2 linked regions of the Oryzias latipes genome follow. The protein of the gene in region 1 interacts with the protein of each later gene in a pairwise test. Links are inferred from orthologs where the notes say so. Each region holds a gene or a part of one and is shown on either strand. Other genes may lie near its edges.

The links.
Region 2: the proteins of mitogen-activated protein kinase 7 (region 1) and ube2c interact in binary tests that used the Homo sapiens proteins (3 or more experiments, as listed by UniProt). The two-hybrid records come from large-scale screens. The link is inferred for Oryzias latipes from reciprocal best matches to the Homo sapiens genes MAPK7 and UBE2C.

What each region holds. Positions count from the first base shown.
Region 1 is NC_019877.2:8,015,321-8,018,825, forward strand, and holds the end of mitogen-activated protein kinase 7, read left to right. Parts: coding exon 1-998; intron 999-1,072; coding exon 1,073-2,139; intron 2,140-2,219; coding exon 2,220-2,350; intron 2,351-2,659; coding exon 2,660-2,807; 3' UTR 2,808-2,970; downstream 2,971-3,505. Other genes in the region: serine protease 27, read right to left, coding at 3,323-3,505. UniProt on the Homo sapiens protein: Plays a role in various cellular processes such as proliferation, differentiation and cell survival. The upstream activator of MAPK7 is the MAPK kinase MAP2K5.
Region 2 is NC_019863.2:18,098,412-18,102,688, forward strand, and holds the start of ube2c (ubiquitin-conjugating enzyme E2 C), read left to right. Parts: upstream 1-1,287; 5' UTR 1,288-1,394; intron 1,395-1,888; 5' UTR 1,889-1,909; coding exon 1,910-2,016; intron 2,017-2,349; coding exon 2,350-2,377; intron 2,378-3,207; coding exon 3,208-3,294; intron 3,295-3,869; coding exon 3,870-4,074; intron 4,075-4,152; coding exon 4,153-4,212; intron 4,213-4,277. UniProt on the Homo sapiens protein: Accepts ubiquitin from the E1 complex and catalyzes its covalent attachment to other proteins. In vitro catalyzes 'Lys-11'- and 'Lys-48'-linked polyubiquitination.

The sequences.
Region 1 (3,505 bases):
AGTGCGCTCCTATGTTCAGAGCCTTCCATCACGAACTGCTGTGCCTTTGTCCAAACTGTACCCACAAGCTGAACCAGATGCCCTGGACTTGCTGGGGGCCATGTTGCGCTTCGATCCCCGCCAACGAATCGGTGTGACGGAGGCACTCGAGCACCCATACTTGGCGAAATACCACGACCCGGATGACGAGCCTATATGCGTTCCAGCTTTTGACTTTGAATTTGATAAGATTGCAATGAGCAAGGAACAAATCAAAGATGCCATTTTAATGGAAATCCAGGACTTTCATAAAAAGAAACAAAGCTGCCGTCAGAAGCTGCAATTCAAGCCATTGCCGAGAGGGAACAAGGGAGCCGCTGCGCAAAGTAATAACCAGAGTAATGCTCCAACTGCTGACAATCTGACCGAATCCTCACTGCTTCCAATGGTACCAAGAGCACAACAGATACAGCAGCAGCAAAACCATCCAGCAGAAGCAAACCAAGCATTTGCTGATCAGATCAAAGCCTTTGACAAGTCTGCAGCCCTTTTAGATGTCACCAGGACATGCGTGACCCACAATTTATCGCTTCTCAGTAAAACTGAAAGTGGCCCAGTTGACGTGGATATGCCCAGTGCCAACTCTGACAGCGGCCAGCCGGAGACGATAGATTTAACGACCCCAGTGTCTAGTCAGGGTGCTTCATCGGAAGCGATGAGAGACCGTGAAGTTCATGAGTATTTAATGAACACTCAGGCTCAGTCAGCGGCCCAGGCTCCCACCACTGCACCGCCACGGAGGACGGCACCCATACCCGCCTCTGCCCACTCCCTGTCTCTGTCTGTGGCACAGGCCCACTCACTCTCTCAGTCCCTTTCACAGTCACTTGGCAAGAACTCGAGGAGTTCTCAACCTGCAGCAGAGGGAACCAGGAAAGAGGGCGCCATTTCAGAGGACACCAAAAATGCCCTTAAGGCAGTTTTATTAAAGTCTGCCATCAGACAAAAAGCCAGGAGTGGTAAGCTCAATATTTATCATTCCTTGTTTTTTTTGGCTTGCATTTCTGTGCATTCTCTGATCTGTTCTTTGCAGATGGAGGAGCCTCGGCCATCGGTATTGACTGCGGTGCAGGAGGAGGCGCCTCATCCTCCCTGTCCTCTGTTCTAGAGTCCCGTCGGTCTGTCACAGCCCAGGAGCGTCAGCGGGAAAGAGAGGAGAAAAGAAAGAAGAGGCAGGAACGAGCAAGAGAGAGGGAGAAAAAAATGAAAGAAAAGGAAAGACGGGAGGGAAAACAGGGGGACTCTTTGGGTGGGGTGTTGCTGAGTGACAACGACAAGAGCTTGTTGCAGCGCTGGACGAGGATGATGGACAGCCGCTGCGACAAATCTCAAACTCCTAACAACGATGGATGCAAGAACAAGGATTGTAACGAGAGTTCTCACACGGGTGCAGTTACAGAGATCACCGCGGAAACGATGAACAATAAAACCGACGAGGCGAGAACGTTTCAGGCACACAACCAGCTAATCTCTCAAGTAAACCCGAACCAGCATGGCTTGTTTCAGTCGCCCAGCGCTCAACCACCATCATTGCCTTTCTCCATGAACCAGCAGACCCCCTCAGCTGATCTAGTTACTGTGAATGCAGGGATCGACTTAATGGCCATGGCTGGTGGGTTCGTTAAAAACGCCCTGAAGCCTCACCCTGAAAGTGGCGTCCAAAGCAGGTTTGGCTGTTTAGGGAATTGGAGTGGCCAGCAACTGGCGACGAGGCCGCCACACCAACCAAACAGAACGACACAGCCGGCGCCATCCAGCTTCCTGCAGCCCCAAACCAAGGCTGACCCGCAGCCACAGCTGCTCCCTTTAGAGAGTTTTTTGTCAAGAGCGGCAACCCTCAACGCCCAAGAGACCAACGGGAACATGGGCATCGGAGGTCAGAATAACCTCAATACGATGACAGGAAATTCAGGGCAAATAGAGAAGCTATGTTCTACATTAGGAGGGAAACCAACATCAGAGACCAGAAATCCCCTCTGTGGGACAGTAGGGGTCTCCTCTCAGCCTCATCCCAGCCTGGTGTTCACCGATACAGGACAGCAGGGAGCCCCTACTGCTCCTGACATCCACACAGTCACCCTGCAGCTGTCCAAGTCCCAGGTTTGGACTGGGATTCATTTACAGACAAGTCTTAGTTTACCTTTAATGGAAACAAAAGTTTGTGTGTTTTCCTCTGTCAGGTGGAGGACATTTTACCGCCGGTGTTCTCAGTCACCCCTAAAGGCAGCGGTGCTGGGTATGGCGTGGGCTTTGATCTGGATGACCTTCTGAACCAATCTCTGACGGACCTGCAAAACTGTGACCGGGACAGGTGAGATCTGATACTAAAACTTAAGAGTTCAACAGAAACATCAATACTCAACTGGGAATCTACATCATCATCATAATGCAAAATCTTTCACACTTGAGGTCTTTTAGTTCCCTTATATCAAACCAAGTGTCCCTTCTATATGCAATCCAAAATACAAAGAGAGCTGGGTTAAAGTCAAACAGGTTTGACCTTCTAGTCAAAATGTAAAATTCCGGTAGTTACCGACATGCACGCCATGACATGCATTAACCCACGTGCTGCACTTTTACTGAGAGCACACCGTCTTTTTCATTTTCTTTTGTCTTTCAGCTATGACTCAGCCCCCCTCTCCGCCTCCCTCTTATCCGACTGGAGCGAGGTGCACCGCATGACTCCAGCTGACCTGGAGTCGCTGCAGCAGGAGCTACAGCTCGGCTCTCCCATGATCCTCTCTGATGGCATAGCTCCCGACTCCTAAGTTACATTTTAAACATTTGGAAAACGAAATTGCTTTTTTTAGAGAGAGAGAACACAAGACTGATTTCTCTGTAATAAAAGACAAATCTTGGAAATAAATGCATGAATGCTACGTCACTTTAAATAAAAAAAAGGTAAAAGATACCTAAATAAAAGTGTGCACTAAATGCAATTTCCCCTTGATCTCTTACAAAAAAGCCAAAGATATTGTGTATAGTATGATAGAATATACATATACAGGATGGAGTATAAATGATAAAGCTGACTTTTAGGTTAAACAACATTTAATTGAAATGCAAAATGATCACAATTTATGATTTAGTACAAAACTATGAAATCTACTTTTAATCAAAGCTCATCATACAAAGCTGTCATTTAAAAAAACAAAACAAAATCATGATCTCATTTTGTTATGGCTTCTGGTGCACGTCAGATACAAGTAACATAATGTGACTATTAAAGGCCACCGAGGCAGAGATTTAGAGTTACCCTCAGGAATTAAGTTTTGATGGCAAATCATCTTTGAAGTAGAACCTGCAGTGTTAGCACAAAGCTAACCAGCAAAATAATGCTCCCACTCTGGATGTGATGGGCTCCTCCGTAGAGTTGAACCTCTGGTACGTTTTTCTTGATGAAGCTTGAGAAGGTGGTAAGCCTGGCGTACACGCCTGGCTTGTTTTGCTGAGCACAGCCGATCCC
Region 2 (4,277 bases), on another chromosome or scaffold:
GCGAGTGTATGGCTCTACAACAGAATGGGGACCTGTTCAGGGTGTACCCCACCTTTGCCCAATTGTTGCTGGATTGGCTCCAGCAGCCCTGTGACCACGAAAAGGATTCAGTTAGTACAGGAGATAAATGGATAAATGGATCAAAGCCTGAGGGATATGGCTCTAAAATAGCATAATGTAGTCCATGTTAACAGGTAACTGATTGGTCGTTGGCCATATTTCTCTCTACAATACAAGGAAATGATTTGCAGATGAACAATCATATATTTTGTGCGCAGAAACAGCTGCTTCTCAGAGAAAAGCTGTCGCCTAAATGAAGCTGTTACTGAAGCATCTTTCAAATGTCATGTTCAGTTCATGTATCAGTAATGAACTTATTTTCCCAGTTTGGCACCTTCTGTTCTGGTGATCTTAATTATGTTTTGATCACTACGCTTTCTTTTTTTTACTTATGGTGAATTTCTCCTTAGATACAATTGTGCTCATCATGGACGGTTCTGCCATCAGCTGCACGTGGTGGCTACAGATGAAGATGGAGAATAGAGCTGCAGACATGCTGAGGAGGAGGAACGAGGCTTATCCTAGTCCGACTAATGGAGTTACACGAGTGAATTTATGTTTTAGTAATATTAGAAAATGTTCACATCTTTATCATATGTTCATGAGGTTTTTACTGAGTAAAAAGCAAATAATTTATTGGACGAGAGTGCTAAAGCATTCTAGTTTTAAATGTGAATCTCAAATTGGCTCACAGCAGTGTACAGATCTGAGAACAAAATTGGATTCTGTCAGCGGACATAAGTTCTGAATTAGGCCTAAGGGAAGGAAATTTAATATTTTTCATATAACAATATCTGATTTTAACTGGTTTTTGAAAGGAAATAACCGACTAATGCAAAATTCCTTCAGTCATATGACTTAGTATTAAAAGGAACTAATTAGTTTCATGGAAAATGTATAACTAAGGAAATTGGGCAACATTTCTAGTTCTTCCTGAATAAAGACACAAAATCATTGAAAATATATAAATTTGGATTGTTGCACAAGATTAGACATTTCAAATCAAAACGTGTTTTGTTTTTGTTTGTTTGTTTAAATTCCCATTTCAAAACTCATTTTCGTTTCGTTTGAAATTCTCTCTTCTCTTGACGTAAACACTAAACGTCGTACTCAGGGTGTTAATTTCCGGTATATTTCGAACCAATTACAACACGCCTCCTAAAGCATACTCACTCGTGATTGGTTGGCATTTTTCTGTTTGCTTTTGAAAGGCGGACACCGATTGGCTGATGCAATTTAAAAACTCGGGGCGGGTTAGGCTTCCATTAACAGATAGTGAGCGATATCAAAGCTGTTCGGATCTACTCAAATTGGATCTACAGTAAGCCTCGCAGGTAAACAGAACTTCTAGATGTATGTGGAATGTTTATTATTTCCGGGTAATAGTTTTCACGAGTGTAGTCGGTGTACACGGGCTGCAGGGATCGGTGTCACGGCGACAGAAACACTAGGAAAGCCACAGAAACGAGCTGTCCGCGCGGCTGAGAGGCCTCCGTGTTCGCAGCTGCGTTAAATGACCACCTCTGCGCCAACAGCCAAAGCAGAAGCGCAATCCGTTTATGCTGAAGCTTCACGTTCTTCCTCAGAGACACTATGGACCTTATGTCAGCATCTGAAGAACCTCCTCTTCAGCCTGAGCTCCTTTTGAAGAAGCTCCTATTGCCTCTTCTAAAAATAGCCATATTCATCCATAATAGTTGTTTTGGTTCGATGATCAGTCTCCATCAGAGCTCTCATGATGATGGTATCACCATCAGACCAGAAGGTTCCTCATCCTGTTTGTGTCATTGTGTGTGAAGTGGACTGACCTGTTGGTACATGTGTCCAGGAGAGCCCATCATTGGCACACATGGCCTCCCAGAACATGGACCCTGCAGCAGCTGGAGCCTCTGCAGCAGCTGCTCTGAAGGGCAACGAGAGCGAGAACAACATGACCAAAGGCTCGGTGTCCAAGCGGTGAGTGTCAACCGTCATCTGAACGTGAAAATAAACCAGACTAACAAGATCAAGAATGAGCCTGGACTTGAAAAGTTGTTTCTGTCTAAATGGAGATCCAGCAGCTGATGCAATCACAGATCAGTCAGCTTTGGTTTTCCCTGAATGATTCAGTCAAATGCTGATTAATTTAGCGGTTACTCTTTTGCATTGGCCTCTCAGTTTGGTGGTTTTAGTGCTGGTCAAGTTGAAGGTCCACAACGCCACATTTCCTGGCCCACATCAGAGCAGTCCGCTTATCGGCTGTACTATTTCTGATTTCTGAGGAGCTCTGCTTCTGTTGTGTGTTTGCAGGTTGCAGCAGGAGCTGATGACTCTCATGGTGAGTTCAACTTTTTATTTATAAATAGACTTTTATCACTGTTGATTTCAATTTTTTTTAAATCCTATTGTCTGAAATAATAAAAGGATATGCAAAGCTGTTAATTTCAGGGATAGATATTTTTTTTTACACAGATTGATGTTTTTCTTAGAATTTATGGCAAAGAAAACCCCTCTATACATTCACACATTTTGGGACTAATTTAGGAGTTTTGATTAATTATTTAAATAACAAAACAAACATATTTTGATGCATTGCACTCTGTGGCCCTCCCTTTCTGTAGCTGGGTAGCTCAATTTGGTTCGGTTCAGAATTTCATAGGGCCCGTTTTGATCTGTTTTCTGTATTTTTTTTCGGTACAAAAAAGGCAGAAAAAAATTTCTTGCAAAATGCATTTATTGGTTTTATATAACAATAATAAAACTAACCTATGTAGGTGATATGCTACATAAAATAATACAACTATTAACTGCCACTTCGTGTAACCATAAAATGCAAACAAAAATAAACAAACCGAAACGGTAAAAAAGTGGTCCAGACTGAAATTACCGAAACGGTTCAGTCCAACTACGTCTACCGTTACACCCTTACTAGTTTGGCAGTGTGTCTTATCCATAATGGAAACAAAAGTGATGATGAAGCCTTCTGAGACTATTTAAAGGGATAAAATAAATTCATAATCTAAAGCATTCACAAAGAACAATACTTGAAGTCCAACCGAGGCACTGAATCAGTTTGAATCCCTTTACGGTAACTAAAGTCCAGGAAAACGGCAGGGTGAGCGCTCATTTTTTGCAGCTTTTAGTGTAACTTTTGCTCCTTTGCTGCAGATGTCGGGGGATAAAGGCATTTCAGCGTTTCCAGAGTCGGATAACCTCTTCAAATGGGTTGGAACCATTGATGGAGCGCAGGGGACGGTACGTATGGGCGCATACGCTCGTGCCACTGGCTGTCTGTATTCCTCAACTACTAAAAAAAACTGCATAGTGTGGCTGTGGCACCATGTAGTGCCCTGGACCCGTAAAAGAAATTTGGTCTCTATACTCACTTTCTTTTTTTTTTAATGGCAAATATGAAATCACACATTTCCCGAAGTAAAAATGTAATAAATATGGACATTTTACAAAGACTATAAGACTATTAACGACAAGTTTATTTAAAACATTACTTCAAATACATGAAAAATTGTTCAAACACAATACATTGTGGTCTATATTCGCTAGTCTAGTGAGCATTGATGCACAGTGGTTTTTCTTAGACTTATGAGAAATTTTTCGAGCACCAGATTTAAGAATTGTAGAATCGCACAGCTCTACAGAATGGGGATGGCGCTATATAGTCCATCGTGTAGTGAATAGTGAAGCAATCCAGACACAACTGTTGGTGAGGAGAGAGGGGTGCTGCACAATTTGATTGTCACCACATTTGAGGTGACGTGAGGAGATGAGAGCTGCACATTATGCATGAATGTGTGATCCGGTTCTCCTGTCAGGTGTACGAGGGCCTCCGGTACCGGCTGTCCTTCGACTTTCCTGCAGGCTACCCCTACCAGGCTCCTCGTGTGAGATTTGTCACGCCTTGTTTCCACCCCAACGTGGACGATCAGGGTTTCATCTGTCTGGACATCCTGAAAGACAAGTGGTCGGCCTTGTACGATGTGCGCTCCATTCTGCTGTCCATACAGAGCCTGCTTGGAGGTAATCCATGGAGCTGTCTGTTCTCTCCAGAGTCCTGATGTTAACATCTGCTTCAGACCAATTTGTTTGTCTTCATAGAACCAAACAACGAAAGTCCTCTGAACACGACAGCGGCAGAAATGTGGGACAACCAAGATGGTAAGGAACCCACTTGGATCAATCCTAACAAAAGTGAACAATAATAGGTTTTGCTTGTTTTAAAG